Linked DNA regions of Stegostoma tigrinum. Each later gene encodes a partner of the first gene's protein in a complex. Links are inferred from orthologs where the notes say so. Each region holds a gene or a part of one and is shown on either strand. Other genes may lie near its edges.

Region 1 (7,539 bases):
CTAAGTGCCCCCCCTCACCCACCCACCCCCCCCCGTGCCCCCCCCTCCTAAGAACCCCCCCTCACCCACCCACCCCCCCCCGTGCCCCCCCCTCCTAAGAACCCCCCCTCACCCACCCACCCCGTGCCCCCCCTCCTAAGAACCCCCCCTCACCCACCCCGTGCCCCCCCTCCTAAGAACCCCCCCTCACCCACCCCGTGCCCCCCCTCCTAAGAACCCCCCCTCACCCACCCCGTGCCCCCCCTCCTAAGAACCCCCCCTCACCCACCCCGTGCCCCCCCTCCTAAGAACCCCCCCTCACCCACCCCGTGCCCCCCCTCCTAAGAACCCCCCCTCACCCACCCACCCCGTGCCCCCCCCTCCTAAGAACCCCCCCTCACCCACCCACCCCGTGCCCCCCCCTCCTCAGACCACCCCCACCCCCCCACCCCGTGCCCCCCCCATCCTCAGACCACCCCCACCCCCCCACCCCGTGCCCCCCCCATCCTCAGACCACCCCCACCCCCCCACCCCGTGCCCCCCCCATCCTCAGACCACCCCCACCCCCCCACCCCGTGCCCCCCCCTCCTCAGACCACCCCCACCCCCCCACCCCGTGCCCCCCCCTCCTCAGACCACCCCCACCCCCCCACCCCGTGCCCCCCCCATCCTCAGACCACCCCCACCCCGTGCCCCCCCCTCCTCAGACCACCCCCACCCCCCCACCCCGTGCCCCCCCCTCCTCAGACCACCCCCACCCCCCCACCCCGTGCCCCCCCCTCCTCAGACCACCCCCACCCCGTGCCCCCCCCTCCTCAGACCACCCCCCCACCCCGTGCCCCCCCCTCCTCAGACCACCCCCCCACCCCGTGCCCCCCCCCTCCTCAGACCACCCCCCCACCCCGTGCCCCCCCCCTCCTCAGACCACCCCCCCACCCCGTGCCCCCCCCCTCCTCAGACCACCCCCCCACCCCGTGCCCCCCCCTCCTCAGACCACCCCCACCCCCCCACCCCGTGCCCCCCCCTCCTCAGACCACCCCCACCCCCCCACCCCGTGCCCCCCCCTCCTCAGACCACCCCCACCCCGTGCCCCCCCCTCCTCAGACCACCCCCCCACCCCGTGCCCCCCCCTCCTCAGACCACCCCCACCCCCCCACCCCGTGCCCCCCCCTCCTCAGACCACCCCCACCCCCCCACCCCGTGCCCCCCCCTCCTCAGACCACCCCCACCCCGTGCCCCCCCCTCCTCAGACCACCCCCACCCCCCCACCCCGTGCCCCCCCCTCCTCAGACCACCCCCACCCCCCCACCCCGTGCCCCCCCCTCCTCAGACCACCCCCACCCCGTGCCCCCCCCTCCTCAGACCACCCCCACCCCGTGCCCCCCCTCCTCAGACCACCCCCACCCCGTGCCCCCCCTCCTCAGACCACCCCCACCCCGTGCCCCCCCCTCCTCAGACCACCCCCACCCCGTGCCCCCCCCTCCTCAGACCACCCCCACCCCCCCACCCCGTGCCCCCCCCTCCTCAGACCACCCCCACCCCCCCACCCCGTGCCCCCCCCTCCTCAGACCACCCCCACCCCGTGCCCCCCCCTCCTCAGACCACCCCCCCACCCCGTGCCCCCCCCTCCTCAGACCACCCCCACCCCCCCACCCCGTGCCCCCCCCTCCTCAGACCACCCCCACCCCCCCACCCCGTGCCCCCCCCTCCTCAGACCACCCCCACCCCGTGCCCCCCCCTCCTCAGACCACCCCCACCCCCCCACCCCGTGCCCCCCCCTCCTCAGACCACCCCCACCCCCCCACCCCGTGCCCCCCCCTCCTCAGACCACCCCCACCCCCCCACCCCGTGCCCCCCCCTCCTCAGACCACCCCCACCCCGTGCCCCCCCTCCTCAGACCACCCCCACCCCGTGCCCCCCCTCCTCAGACCACCCCCACCCCGTGCCCCCCCCTCCTCAGACCACCCCCACCCCCCGTGCCCCCCCCTCCTCAGACCACCCCCACCCCCCCACCCCGTGCCCCCCCCTCCTCAGACCACCCCCACCCCGTGCCCCCCCCTCCTCAGACCACCCCCACCCCGTGCCCCCCCTCCTCAGACCACCCCCACCCCGTGCCCCCCCTCCTCAGACCACCCCCACCCCGTGCCCCCCCCTCCTCAGACCACCCCCACCCCGTGCCCCCCCCTCCTCAGACCACCCCCACCCCCCCACCCCGTGCCCCCCCCTCCTCAGACCACCCCCACCCCCCCACCCCGTGCCCCCCCCTCCTCAGACCACCCCCACCCCGTGCCCCCCCCTCCTCAGACCACCCCCCCACCCCGTGCCCCCCCCTCCTCAGACCACCCCCACCCCGTGCCCCCCCTCCTCAGACCACCCCCACCCCGTGCCCCCCCCTCCTCAGACCACCCCCACCCCGTGCCCCCCCCTCCTCAGACCACCCCCACCCCGTGCCCCCCCCTCCTCAGACCACCCCCACCCCGTGCCCCCCCCTCCTCAGACCACCCCCACCCCCCCACCCCGTGCCCCCCCCTCCTCAGACCACCCCCACCCCGTGCCCCCCCCTCCTCAGACCACCCCCACCCCCCCACCCCGTGCCCCCCCCTCCTCAGACCACCCCCACCCCCCCACCCCGTGCCCCCCCCTCCTCAGACCACCCCCACCCCGAGACCTCTCCCCCTCCTCCTCCTCCTTGCCCTCCACACTCCCCTTGACCCTCTCTCCCGCCCCCCCGCCTTTCCGCGCGGACCTGTATTTGAAAGTGAAGCCGGTGCGGTCGCTGCCCTCCCGGTACTGCCGGAGGAAATCCCGCAGCCGCTTCTGGAGCTGTGTCCGGCGGATCTGGCCCGAGTCTCCCGGGGTTTCAGACCCGAAGCTGTCGCTGAAAAACACGCCGGGATCATCAAACCCGGACATGGCGGGGCCGGGCCCGAGTCTGGGGCCTCTCGAGAATTCTTCTTCTTCCTCCTCTTCACTTTCTCTCACTCTATCTCGTTATTTTATCTTTCCCTCTATTTATTTTCCGTCTACTTTCTCTCTTCAATTTTTTATTTCTCTCCCTTCTTCCCCGCCGCGCACCCTGGGCTTTCGCGCCAGAACCACATCAGGTCCCGCCCTCTTTCTCTCATTGGCTGTTCCTAGAACTGGCTCCGCCCTATCCCCGTTCTGGCGCCAAATATTAGCCAATCAGCAGGAAAAGGCATTTCCGGGCGATCACCCGGCCCCTTGCGCCGCTGCTCCCCCATTTGGGCGGAAATTAAAGGCCCTAGGCCTCTCTTTCCCGGTCACTTTCCACCTTAAAGCAACAAACTCCTTGCATTGATGAACCCTCCTGGGACGTGATTTCCCTGGAACTATCTGAGTGGAAGGTCTGCTATTCAGGTTTGTTTTTCTGATAGGTGTTCCCAAGCCTCCAGCATGATCTCCAAACACTTGCTGTGTTTATTTCATTATTTCCTGCATATTTAGCTTTTATTTGAGCATTGTCCTGAGAGCTGAATAGCAATTATCAATTAACCTCCTGGCCACTGGAGAATCATGATGTGGCAGTGCCAGTGTCAGACTGGGGTGACCAAGGCCAGAAATCACAGTCACCAGGTTATAGCCCAACACAGTTCATTTGAAAACGCAAGCTTTTGGAGTGCTTCACCTGACACGGTCTATGCTCTAAAAGCTTGTGTTTTTGAATAAACATGTTGGGTTATAACCTGGTGTCGTATGATTTCTGATTGGAGAGGGTGAAACACAAGGAGAATGACCGTAGGGCCATGTAATGAAAAGGTTGTGATTTCTTTACCTACTTTGTACAGCATTAATCATCTCGAAAGATATTGGCACTGAGGGAACAAAAACATCTTTGACTAGGTGATGGGAAATGCCGTGATAAAAGCTTCAGGAATGTGTCCAGGCAGAGTTAGCAATTCTATATCTTGCCAATCTCCATTGAAACATTTGTGTACTTCAATCACTCTTCATGCAAATGCTCCCAACCTGTACCACACCCCACTTCAAGCAAAACAAGAATCCACAGGCACCGGTGGGTTTGAATCTCACAATTAGGTTAGATTCCCCACAGTGTGGAAACAGGCCCTTTGGACCAGCAAGTCCACACTGCCCCTTGAAGCATCCCAACCAGTCCCATCCCCCTATAATCCACACACCCCCGAACACTACGGGCAATTTAGCATGGCCGATCCACCTAGCCTGCACATCTTTGGACTGTGGGAGGAAACCGGAGCGCCCGGAGGAAACCCACGCAGACATGGGGAGAATGTGCAAACTCTGCACAGACAGTTACCTGAGGCTAGAATCAAACCTGGGTCCCTGGCACTGTGAGGTTGCAGTGCTAACCACTGAGCCACCGTGCCGCCCAAGGTCATAAAGATGTACAGCACGGAAACAGATCCTTCAATCCAACCTGTCTGCACCAACCAGGCATCCCAATCTAACCCAGGTCCATTGCTAGCATTTGGTCCAAATCCTTCTAAACCCTTCTTATTCCTGTACCTATCCAGATGCCTTTTAAATGTAGTAATTGTATTTGCCTGCATCACTTTGCCTGCCACTTGTTTCATTTACCATCCCCCATCTGCATGAAGAAGTTGCACCTTAGGTCCTTTTCAAATGTTTCCCCTCTCGACTTAAACCTGTGCCCTCTAGCTTTCCCCACCCTAGGAAAAAGACCTCACTTTTGCTATGCCCCTCATGATTTTGTAAACCTCTATAACGTTACCCCCTCAGCCACCAACACTGCAGCAAAAAAGCCACAGCTTATTCAGCCCCTCCCCGTAACTTAAACCCCCCCAGTCCCAGAAACATCCTTACAAATCTTCTCTGCACTCTCAGCTTTAACAACGACGTGGAAGGGCGGCCAGAATTGTATGCAGTATTCTAAAAGTTGCCTTACCATTGTCCTCTATAGCTGTAACATGATGTCCCATCTCCTATATTCAATGTTCTGACCAATGAAGGCAAGTGTGCCAAATGCCTTCTTCAGCAGCCTGTCTACCTGCGAGTCCGCTTGCAAGGAACTATGCACCTGCATCCTTGGGTCTCTTTGCTTAGCAACACAGCCTAGGGCCCTACCCTTAACTGTACAAGTCTTGCCCTGGCTTACCTTACCAAAATGCCACACTTTACACTTATCTAAATGAAACTCCATCTGCCACTCCTTGGCCCATTGGCCCATCTGATCAAGGTCCCATTGTACTCTGAGATAACCATCTTCACTGCCCACTACACCACTAGTTTTGGTGTCATCTGCAAACTTATTAACTGTGCCTCCTATATTTACATTTGTTGTAAATAGTGATTGTGTGGAAATAGATAAATATCCATGTATTTAACCAATTCTGTTTGGAGAGTTCCATCCTTACAGATGCAGAATTCCAGATCACAACGAATGCAACATGAAAATTCTCCCCACTCTGCTATGAGCAATCTCTTGCCTCTGTTGATTCACTGCCCTGTCAATGGAAAGAGTTTCTTTTTGGCTGTTATGGTGTAATGATATTGTTCCTGCCTCTGAGGCAGGAAGGTTCAAGTGTCACCTGCTCCAGAGTGTAAAATGATATTTTTGAACACGTTGATTAGAAAGTATCTGAGAAGAGTATTTTTTAAATAGAATCCCCACAGTGTGTAAACAGGTCATGCAGCCCAACAAGTGCACACTAATCCTCCAAAGAGCATCCCAGCCAGACCCATCCCCATAACCCTGCATTTCTCACGGCTAACACACTTAACCTACACATCCCTGGACACTATGTGCAATTTATTATGGCCAATCCACCCAACTTGCACATCTTTGGATTGTGGGAGGAAACTAGAGCACCCAGCAGAAACCCACACAAACGCAGGGGGAGCATGCAAACTCCACACAGGTAGTTGCTTAAGGCTGGAATTGAACCTGGGGTTCTTGGGGCTGTGAGGCAGCAGTGTTAACCACTGAGCCAATCTTACAATTTCTCCTTACGTTCTGTAAACATCCTTTATCAATTTGAACTTGGTTATAAAATCACATATGAATCTTCCCCACATGAAGTGCTCCTTTGGTCTTGAATTCATCAAAATCCCTCATCTCTGGAATCATTCCAGTCTACCTCCTATGCAGGACCTTGACATTTTTGCTGAAGGACGGTATTCAGATTTTGATATTATGCTACGCTTGAGACCTAACCATAAGGTTAATAACAGTTTAACATATTGTTCAAGATTTTCAACCTTTCTGTTTCAATTGTTAAAGCAATGCGTATTAAGCACTTTCTGAATTCATCTTGACTCCAATGCAGATTACTTGTCTAAGAGTAGAAAGTGATACATTTCCAAGTAAGAGATAACAAGGTGTAGAACTGGATGAATACAGCAGGCGAAGCAGCATCAGAGGAGCAGGTAAGCTGACGTTTCGGGCCTGGAGATAGTAGGAACTGCAGATGCTGGAGAACCTGGGATAACAAGGTGTAGAGCTGGATGAACACAGCTGGGGGAGGCGAAGGGGTCTCTGAAATAAATAGGGAGAGGGGGAGGCAATGATGGAATGTGGATAAAGGAGCAGATAGGTGGAGAGAAGACGGACAGGTCAAGGAGACGGGGTGAAGCCTGTAAAGGTGAGCGTAGGTAGGTTGTTGGGACGGGGGTTGGTCAGTTGGGAAGGAAGGGTGGGTGACAATAGACATTAGGTGCAGGAGTAGGCCATTCGGTCCTTCGAGCCAGCACCACCATTCATTATGATCATGGCTGATCATCCACAATCAGTATCCTGTTCCTGCCTTATCCCCATAACCCTTGATTCCACTATCTTTAAGAGCTCTATCCATCTCTTTCTTGAAAGTATCCAGAGACTTGGCCTCCACTGCCTTCTGAGGCAGAGCATTCCATATATCCACCACTCTCTGGGTGAAGAAGTTTTTCCTCAACTCTGTTCTAAATGGCCTACCCCTTATTTTTAAACTGTGTCCTCTGATTCTGATGGGAGGGAAGACGGAGATGTCAAGGAGGTGGGTACGAGCTGGGCTGGACTTGGGATGAGGTCGGGGTGGGGAGATTTTGAAGTTTGTGAAGTCCACGTTGAGACCATTGGGCTGTAGGGTTTCCAAGCGAAATATGAGGTGCTGTTCCTACAGCCTTCGGGTGGCATCGCTGTGGCACTGAAGGAGGCCCAGGATGGACATATCGTCCAAGGAGTGGGAAGGGGAGTTGAAGTGGTTTGCGACCAGGAGGTGCAGTTGTTTGTCGCGAACCGAGCATAGGTGTTCCACAAAGCGGTCTCCAAGATTCTGCTTTGTTTCCCTGATGTAGAGGAGGCCACATCAGGAGCAGCAGATACAATATACCATTAGCAGAGGTGCAGGCGAACATCTCTTTAATGTGGAAGGTTTTCTTGGGGTCTGGGATGGGGGTGAGGGGGGATGTGTAGGGGCAGGTGTAGCACTTCCTGCGGTTGCAGGTAAAAGTTGCAGGGGGTGGTGGAATTCGTGGGGAGTGTGGAGCGGACGAGGGAGACACAGAGAAGCCAGAGGTGGTGGGGCTAGTGAGGTTGATTTTTGAGTCTGAGGGGAACACCTGGGTG
Region 2 (7,924 bases), on another chromosome or scaffold:
TAGAAGAGGAAAACGCGAAGAGCCACCTCTATTTAGGAGAGATGAAAGGAAAAGTAAAGAGCTACAGGCGAAGCACTTAGCGCAGACTTCAGTCTCCGAGGGTTGCGGTTTTTCGAAAGGCACCCGGTTTAGTACATTGTTAGCAGCGACTCCCACAGCTTGGAATCAGCTGATCAGTCACAACCTCCAACCTCTCACCCGTTTGGAGGAAACACGCCTCCTATGTTTTAAAGAGTCAATGTATCAGATTCAGCATTCATTTTTCAGGGAAGCAGGCCGGAAAAAGTCACTAAATATTTGAGCTTGTGAGAGGAAGCTTTAAAAAGAATCTTCCAGCTGATTTCTGCGAACTGGCATTTCATAAAAATATTAAAAATATAATGCATGAACCGTCTGGGAGCAAGTTGCAAGTCAATTGGGAGTGAAGTACGAGTATTCAATTAAAATAATGCGTAGCACATGCTATTATTCTGAGAAAGATTTATTGACCAGTATGCGAGTTAAGTGCTGATGCAAAAAGCATGGTGCTAAAATTACAGATTAATAACTGAGCAAATTTGAATTTAAATGGAAGCTTTCACAACCTCCATACATTATGAAGTGCTTGCAGACAAGGTACTTTTGAAGAGTTCACTGTAGAAATGGAAGAAATATGTAGCTAATCTGTGCACAACGAGGTCCCACAAACATCAAATTATGTAAGTGACCAGATTTCTCTGCATTAGTCGAGGGATAATTATTGGCTAGATAACCAGGTGAAACAGCATAGAACTCCAGCTTAATATTGTACATTTACAAGATTTATTTACAACAATACATATTACAAACATACATCCCAAATGTAATCAACCATAGTTTCTGTTCCACCCCATTATCGTAGAAAGCCAAATCAAGCCCCAGTTTATGCCCATCACCTGGATACAATTTCTATAGCCAATTTTGATACAATTAACTCAAAAGTATCAAGAGAACACTTTGAAAGCCTTTGAGAAGGATAAAGCGGAGTGTATCAGTTCCCCCTCCAACCCTATTTCAATTGGATCCCCTCCCTCTCATCCTAAACTCCCTGTCTGTGTTATTGCTACTTGTGAGTGGTGCGTGTCAATTGTTTACTTTGTCAAATGGTTGATTTCACAGTGGCTATATTAAAAGAAAACCCACGCTTTTTTTGCAATAGTGCCAATGGATCATTTACATTCACCTGAGAAGGCAGGTATTCTATTGGGAAAGACCAATTTTCCATGGATTATTGAAAGTAAAGTTGCATTAACGCTCAGCATAAATCTGACCCTCATTTATGTATTGTGTACTTGTTTGCTACTGGGTAAAGCTCTAATCTGCTAATCGACAACTGAATGACAACCGACTGAGTAAAAGCTGTGCTTAAAAATACATTCAAAATCCTTTTATAGAGGTGTACCAAAACAAATTCATTTATAAACTGTACTTCTCGATTATATTATCAAATTCAAAATGATGATTGCCCAACCAATTAAAAATGAACTGAACAATAGGATTGAAAGTTTTTGCTTCTTTGCAGCTATGTCAGGCGAACCAAATTTAATAGTGTACAGTAACTCCTCAAATGACTTTAACATGGGGAAGTCTCTGGTCTACGGCTACCATATTGTCGGACTAGAAAACTCTCGCATTCTTACAGTCTGCCTTAAGCATATCAAAAGGATTTACGTATTAATAACGACTGTATCTTGTTTTCCCAGGTAAAGACATAGTTTTATGGACGTCAAGTCTTAAGGTGGGAATTGAACCCACAACTTGTAGCTCAGAGGTAAGGACACTACCAATATGTAACAAAATCTCTTCAAGTCAGTATCATCTAGGAAGTTAAGTGGAAAGAAATGTTTCTTAGAAATAATGTGTTTGAAGTGACTTTTTGCATACCAGAAGGTAATGTACATTCTCATCAGTATGAGAAAGTATAGAGCAATGCTTAAATAGAATGCCAAACCCCTGTTGAGAGATCTTAAAATTTAGAGATTTCCTGCTTATAAAAAAGTGAACAAAACATTCCATTCATCAGCTTATCCGATACTATCCTGTCAAGCAATCAGTACCTGAAAAGTAATGCCTCAGAACATGATTTCATCTCCTTTACCTGCTGCTTATTGATGTGGAGATCTCCATCAATAAGTTGAGCTTTAAATTGCAGGTTGAGTTAATCATCAAAAATACCTGTTTCTGCACGTGTGACATCATTCCCATTAAGCTCTCAGCTATGCCTATGTTACCTTAAGGCATGATTCTTATTTCAGTTTCTCACTACAGAAACTCTAATTCCTCCTAATAATTCCAAATACTACAGATGCTTTAAATAAAAGCAGAAAATAAAGAAACTCAGCAGGCCTGGAAACATCTGTGGAAATGAATGAAATTTAACATTTCAAGTCCAAAGACTCTTTTTCAGAACTCAGAAGTTCTGAGGAATGGTCACCAGACCCGAAATATTAACTGATTTCTTCTTCACAGATGCTGCCAGACCTGCTGAGCTTTTCCAGCAACATGGGGACCGCTTTGCAGAACACCTCCGCTCAGTTCGCAACAAACAACTGCACCTCCCAGTCGCAAACCATTTCCACTCCCCCTCCCATTCTCTTGATGACATGTCCATCATGGGCCTCCTGCACTGCCACAATGATGCCACCCGAAGGTTGCAGGAACAGCAACTCATATTCCGCCTGGGAACCCTGCAGCCATATGGTATCAATGTGGACTTCACCAGTTTCAAAATCTCCCCTTCCCCCACTGCATCCCTAAACCAGCCCAGTTCATCCCCTCCCCCCACTGCACCACACAACCAGCCCAGCTCTTCCCCCCCACCCACTGCATCCCAAAACCAGTCCAACCTGTCTCTGCCTCCCTAACCGGTTCTTCCTCTCACCCATCCCTTCCTCCCACCCCAAGCCGCACCCCCAGCTACCTACTAACCTCATCCCACCTCCTTGACCTGTCCGTCTTCCCTGGACTGACCTATCCCCTCCCTACCTCCCCACCTACACCCTCTCCACCTATCTTCTTTACTCTCCATCTTCGGTCCGCCTCCCCCTCTCTCCCTATTTATTCCAGTTCCCTCCCCCCATCCCCCTCTCTGATGAAGGGTCCAGGCCCGAAACGTCAGCTTTTGTGCTCCTGAGATGCTGCTTGGCCTGCTGTGTTCATCCAGCCTCACATTTTATTATCTTGGAATCTCCAGCATCTGCAGTTCCCATTATCTCTGATGTTTTTTTTCCTCCCTGATTTACAGCATCCTCAGTTCTTTTTCAAAACAGTTTCTCTCTCCACCAATACTGCTAGATCTGTTGAGTCTCTCCAGAATTTTCTGTTTATTTCTATTTTGCTCAAAATCCAACAAGACCTTGCAGCTATTTTTGCCATTACCACGAGTTTCCCATAGTGACACTGACTGCAAATCTTCAACAATGACAGGAGCTTTTGTTGAGACAGCATTAGTTAGAATTCTTAAGCTATGTGATCTCAATAAATAAAACAAGTTATTTCTTGATAGTAACTTGTGCCTGTGGGACCTAAAAAGGTTTAGCTAGAATAGGTCAGATAGCACCAATAAATCAATCAGCTCATTGTCTCCTACAAGGCATAGGAGAGAAGTTTGGTGGATAATAGTCAACTCAGAAAATCATGGGTATGGGTCTGAAGACCTCTTTCCAACCCTGAACATATTAATCATAAACCTATGTACACAAGTTTGTCAGCAGAGTGTAATAAGTGCTAACTTGGGAATTATTTGCAGAAGTGAAAACAGATGTTGCTTTTTCACTTTTTTCCCCCCAGAAGCTGGTGAATGTTCAAAGTTTGCTGATGTTATTCCTGTAAAAGCAGACGGTAGGTTAAACTGACATAGAGACTGATACATTGCATTAGATTAATAGCTTATCTAGCTACACTGATAGATATGTCCCTGGATTACTTACTGAAGACAAATTTGGCACAGAGTTACCAAGGTTAGAGCATTGAATTGGTTCAAAGTTTAGTGTAGAAGAAATACATTTAAATTTGAAGAGAGTTGGCATCAGTGCTGGACAAAAAGGGAGCAGTACTGTGCCTTCTCTTCAGCTACACTGGGCCAACATCTAGCTAAATTATACAACAAGGACTGTACAGTAGGTTTTCAGCTAAAAAGAACAGTTGGGAGAGGTGGGGAAAATAGGGCTTACATGAAGGGAAATTTTGAAAGTTATGGAGGAAGTAAAACAAGGCAATACGACAGAGATGGGAATAATTATCAAACACTGTGATAAGAGGGGACAGGGCATACAGGCATTGTTAGTATACTAACAGATGAGGAAAAGGCAAAAAAAAGGTAAAAAGGCAGAATAAATGGCTAACTGAATGCACACAGCATTCTTAAAATGGACGAATTAAAAACACATCCCAGACGAACTTGCCTTCATTTTGGGTGGCACGGTGGTTCAGTGGTTAACACTGCTGCCTCATAGCGCCAGGTACCCGAGTTCGATTCCACCCTCGGGTGACTGTCTGTGTGGAGTCTGCACATTCTCCCCGTGTCTGCGTGGGTTTCCTCCCGCAGTCCAAAGATGTGCAGGTTAGGTGAATTGGTCATGCTAAATTGCCCGTAATGTCCCGGGGTGTGTAAATTAGGTGGATTAGATATAGGAAATGAAGGGTTGGGGAGTGGATCTGGGTGGGATGCTTCTTCTTCCTTCGAAAGGGCGGTATGGACCTGGTTTCATGTTGTGGGGATTTTTCTATGAGTAGAAACAAATGGAACATGACGGTTGTGATAGAGAGAGGGTTGCCAGTAGCGAAAGGAAGGGGCAGTTAGAGCGCAAGCGCTCTCCTCGAGTTCGCCAGTTGGGTCTCGCGCTGAGGGAGCCGGTTGACTGAGAAGCTCGAGCCGTAGGGGAAAAAGCAAAATCAAACGGCGAATCTGTTGTACGGGAGGGGGGCATACACAAAGAAGGAATTTCACATTTTTAAAAATAAATCAGTTGACCACACATACCTTTTGTAGGAACATCGAGTAGATATTGTTCGCTGTTTATACTTTGCAGTCAAGCTATTTTTTTCGGGAGGAAGTGACGGAGGTGACTGCCCGCTCTCCACCTTCCTGATTGGTCCCGCCGCCACCTGGGTCTTTAGTCGGTTTTGGCGGGGGTTTGGATGGAAGATTTTTGCTCCGTGTTTTACAGCTCGTCCGTTCTTGTTTGTAGAGGTTTATATTATAATACCGTTTGCTCCTTCTGGGAATAATGTTTTGTGAAAAAGCTATCGAGTTAATCCGAGAACTCCAACGAGCTGCGGACGGTCAGTTGCCCGCTTTTAATGTGAGTAACGTAGTATTTTTCCAAATAAGTCTTTAAAATATTAAAAGTGAAACACTAATCTTACTCCGAAGAAATGTTATTGGGCTCGAGACTTTAACCTTGTTTTTGTGTCTAGGGATGCTGCCAGATCTGCCGAGTTTCTCGAGTGCTTTCAGTTGTTTATTTTAATACCCAACATTTTTACTATTGTTTAATCGAGCAATAATGAAGGACGAGACAAATAATGATGTTGAGGAATAAAAACGCGATTGAATTGGTAGTGAGGGAGAAGGTTATAGGTTCGACAGTGGTCAAGTGGACAGAAAAGTGGCGAGCAAAAACGAAGTTGCTGGAAAAGCTCAGCAGATCTGGCAGCATCTGTGAAAAAGAAAACAGAATTAACGCTTCGGGTCCGGAACTGAGGAAGGGTCACCGGACCCGAAACGTTAACTCTGTTTTCTCCTCTACAGATACTGCCAGACCTGCTGAGCTTTTCCAGCAACTCTCTTATTGTTCCTAATTTACACTATCCGCAGTTCTTTTGGTTCTTAGAAAAGTGGCGAGGTTTTTTGTTTGGCGTGGGGAAAATCAATGCAGAGAAATCTGCGGGAATGGAGTTGGGCAAGACCAAACGAGGCAACGGACTGCGCAGTGAATAGTGGGATATTATGAATTGTAGAGGACCAGAGGAGACTTGGCGTGCCTGCCTCGATCCCTGAAAGGAGAAGGACAGGTTTCATAAAGCATATAGTGGTATGTCATTCAGATATTCGATTTCAGATCCATATTGTTTTCATGTCCATGTATATCTACAGTATAGTGCCATGTAGAATCAAGAATCCCTACAGTGTTGAACCAGGCCATTCAGTCCATCAAGTCTACCCCAACCTTCCAAAAAGCATCCCACTCAGATCCACATCATTGCCCTAAGCCCATAACCCTGCATTTCCCATGGCAAATCGACCAAACCTGCACATCTTTGGACTGTGGGAGAAAGCCAGAGCACCCAGAGGAACCTCTCTCAAACACAAGGAGAATGTGCAAACTCCATACAGACAGTTGCCCAAGGCTGGAATCAAACCCAGATCCCTGGTGCTGTGAGGCAATGGTGCTAATTACCGTGCCACCCTGTGATGATAGTGAAGATTTCACAGAAAACTCAACTCTGGTAGGATTTGTACCCACGACCATTGAATAGCACATTTCACTATTGTTTTGGAAGTCCAGCAGGCTCTCCACTGCGCCACAGAGCTGCATGTCTCTCAATCTACATCGAATATATGAATGCCAAGCTTATACTAGGAGGAACCTGCTTTCTTTGCATAGCCATAACTAGGGAACACAGATGTCAAGTAATTGACAGAAGGATTCGAGGGGAGTTGAGTTTTTTCAATTCAGAGTGTAAATTTTTGGAAATAATTGCATACCTACTCGAGTTTCCATTATCTACAAGGGTACTTGTTAAGGGAAAAAATGGTTCTTCCATCTGGGCCATGGACATACTTGGGAAGCTTTCCCAGATACCTGTACCCTTTGTATCTTAGAGCATATCTGAAAGAAGAAAAGTGATTATACCATGAATGATAATGACTAAAGATGCAGCAGAGAAAGAGCTCTGGGGTCATAATATGTCTGAAACACTGCAGCGCAGCAATGAATTAGGTAATTCAAAGCCTGAATTACAAAAGTAAAACAATAAGAGGATGTTCTATTCACAGTTGCCATAGATATTTTCTGGTAAGATCATTCATATAAATGGCCCAAAGATCCTTGTGTTCCTGTTAATGTTGATTAAATATCTAATTGTACTGTATATCAATAGGAAGGATGTGAAATTCAGATCCCTAATGGAACAAAGATGTTAGCTAGTTCCCATCACATCATTTTCCAGTTTTCTTTTTATAGCTTTACTTAGAAATTCTTACAGTCGATTCTTCTAAGTTGTTTTATTCCAGTTTGCTCAATCTCCCTTCCCCTCAGAGTCAAAATAAAGAATAAATCATGTGCTAAGAGTAGAAATATGCTATTCAGCCCGTTGAGTCTGTTCTGTCATTTAATGAAATCGTGGCTGATCTGATAATCCTCCACTCCCCTTTCCTGCCTTTTCCTCATAACTCATGATTCATTTACGAATTAAATATCTATCTCTGCCTTAACGACTCAATGACCCTGCCTCCCCAGCCTTTTGTGATAAACAATTCTGAACATTCTCCACTTCTGAGAGAAGAAATTCCTCCTCATCTGCCCTAAATGGTCAACGTATTATTCTGAAATTATGCCCTTTGACCCTATACTCTCCTATAAGGGGCAACAAGCTCTCCACATCTACTCTGTCAAGTTAGTTAAGAATTTTATATGTTTCAATAAGGTTGTCTCTCATTCTTCTCTATTCTAATGAAAACCAGCCCAATCCTTCCATACCTCTGATGCCAGTATATCCTTCCTTAGATAAGGGGCCCAAAACTGTTCGTAGTATTCCAGCTGTGGTCTGACTATACTTTGTATAGTTGTAGGAAAACCTCTTTACGTTCATTCTCCATTTCATTTGAAATAAAAGCCAACATTTCATTTGCCTTCCCATTACCTACTGAACTTGGATGCTTGTTTTTTTGTGATCCATGGGC

The links. Proteins that work in one complex are often made in the same cells at the same time.
Region 2: mcm5 (region 1) and gins1 share a complex: the UniProt entries of both Homo sapiens proteins name them as parts of the CMG helicase complex. The link is inferred for Stegostoma tigrinum from reciprocal best matches to the Homo sapiens genes MCM5 and GINS1.

What each region holds. Positions count from the first base shown.
Region 1 is NC_081391.1:3,319,462-3,327,000, forward strand, and holds the start of mcm5 (DNA replication licensing factor MCM5), read right to left. Parts: upstream 3,097-7,539; 5' UTR 2,892-3,096; coding exon 2,725-2,891; intron 1-2,724. UniProt on the Homo sapiens protein: Acts as a component of the MCM2-7 complex (MCM complex) which is the replicative helicase essential for 'once per cell cycle' DNA replication initiation and elongation in eukaryotic cells.
Region 2 is NC_081362.1:20,094,697-20,102,620, forward strand, and holds the start of gins1 (DNA replication complex GINS protein PSF1), read left to right. Parts: upstream 1-4,918; 5' UTR 4,919-5,246; coding exon 5,247-5,321; intron 5,322-7,924. UniProt on the Homo sapiens protein: Required for correct functioning of the GINS complex, a complex that plays an essential role in the initiation of DNA replication, and progression of DNA replication forks.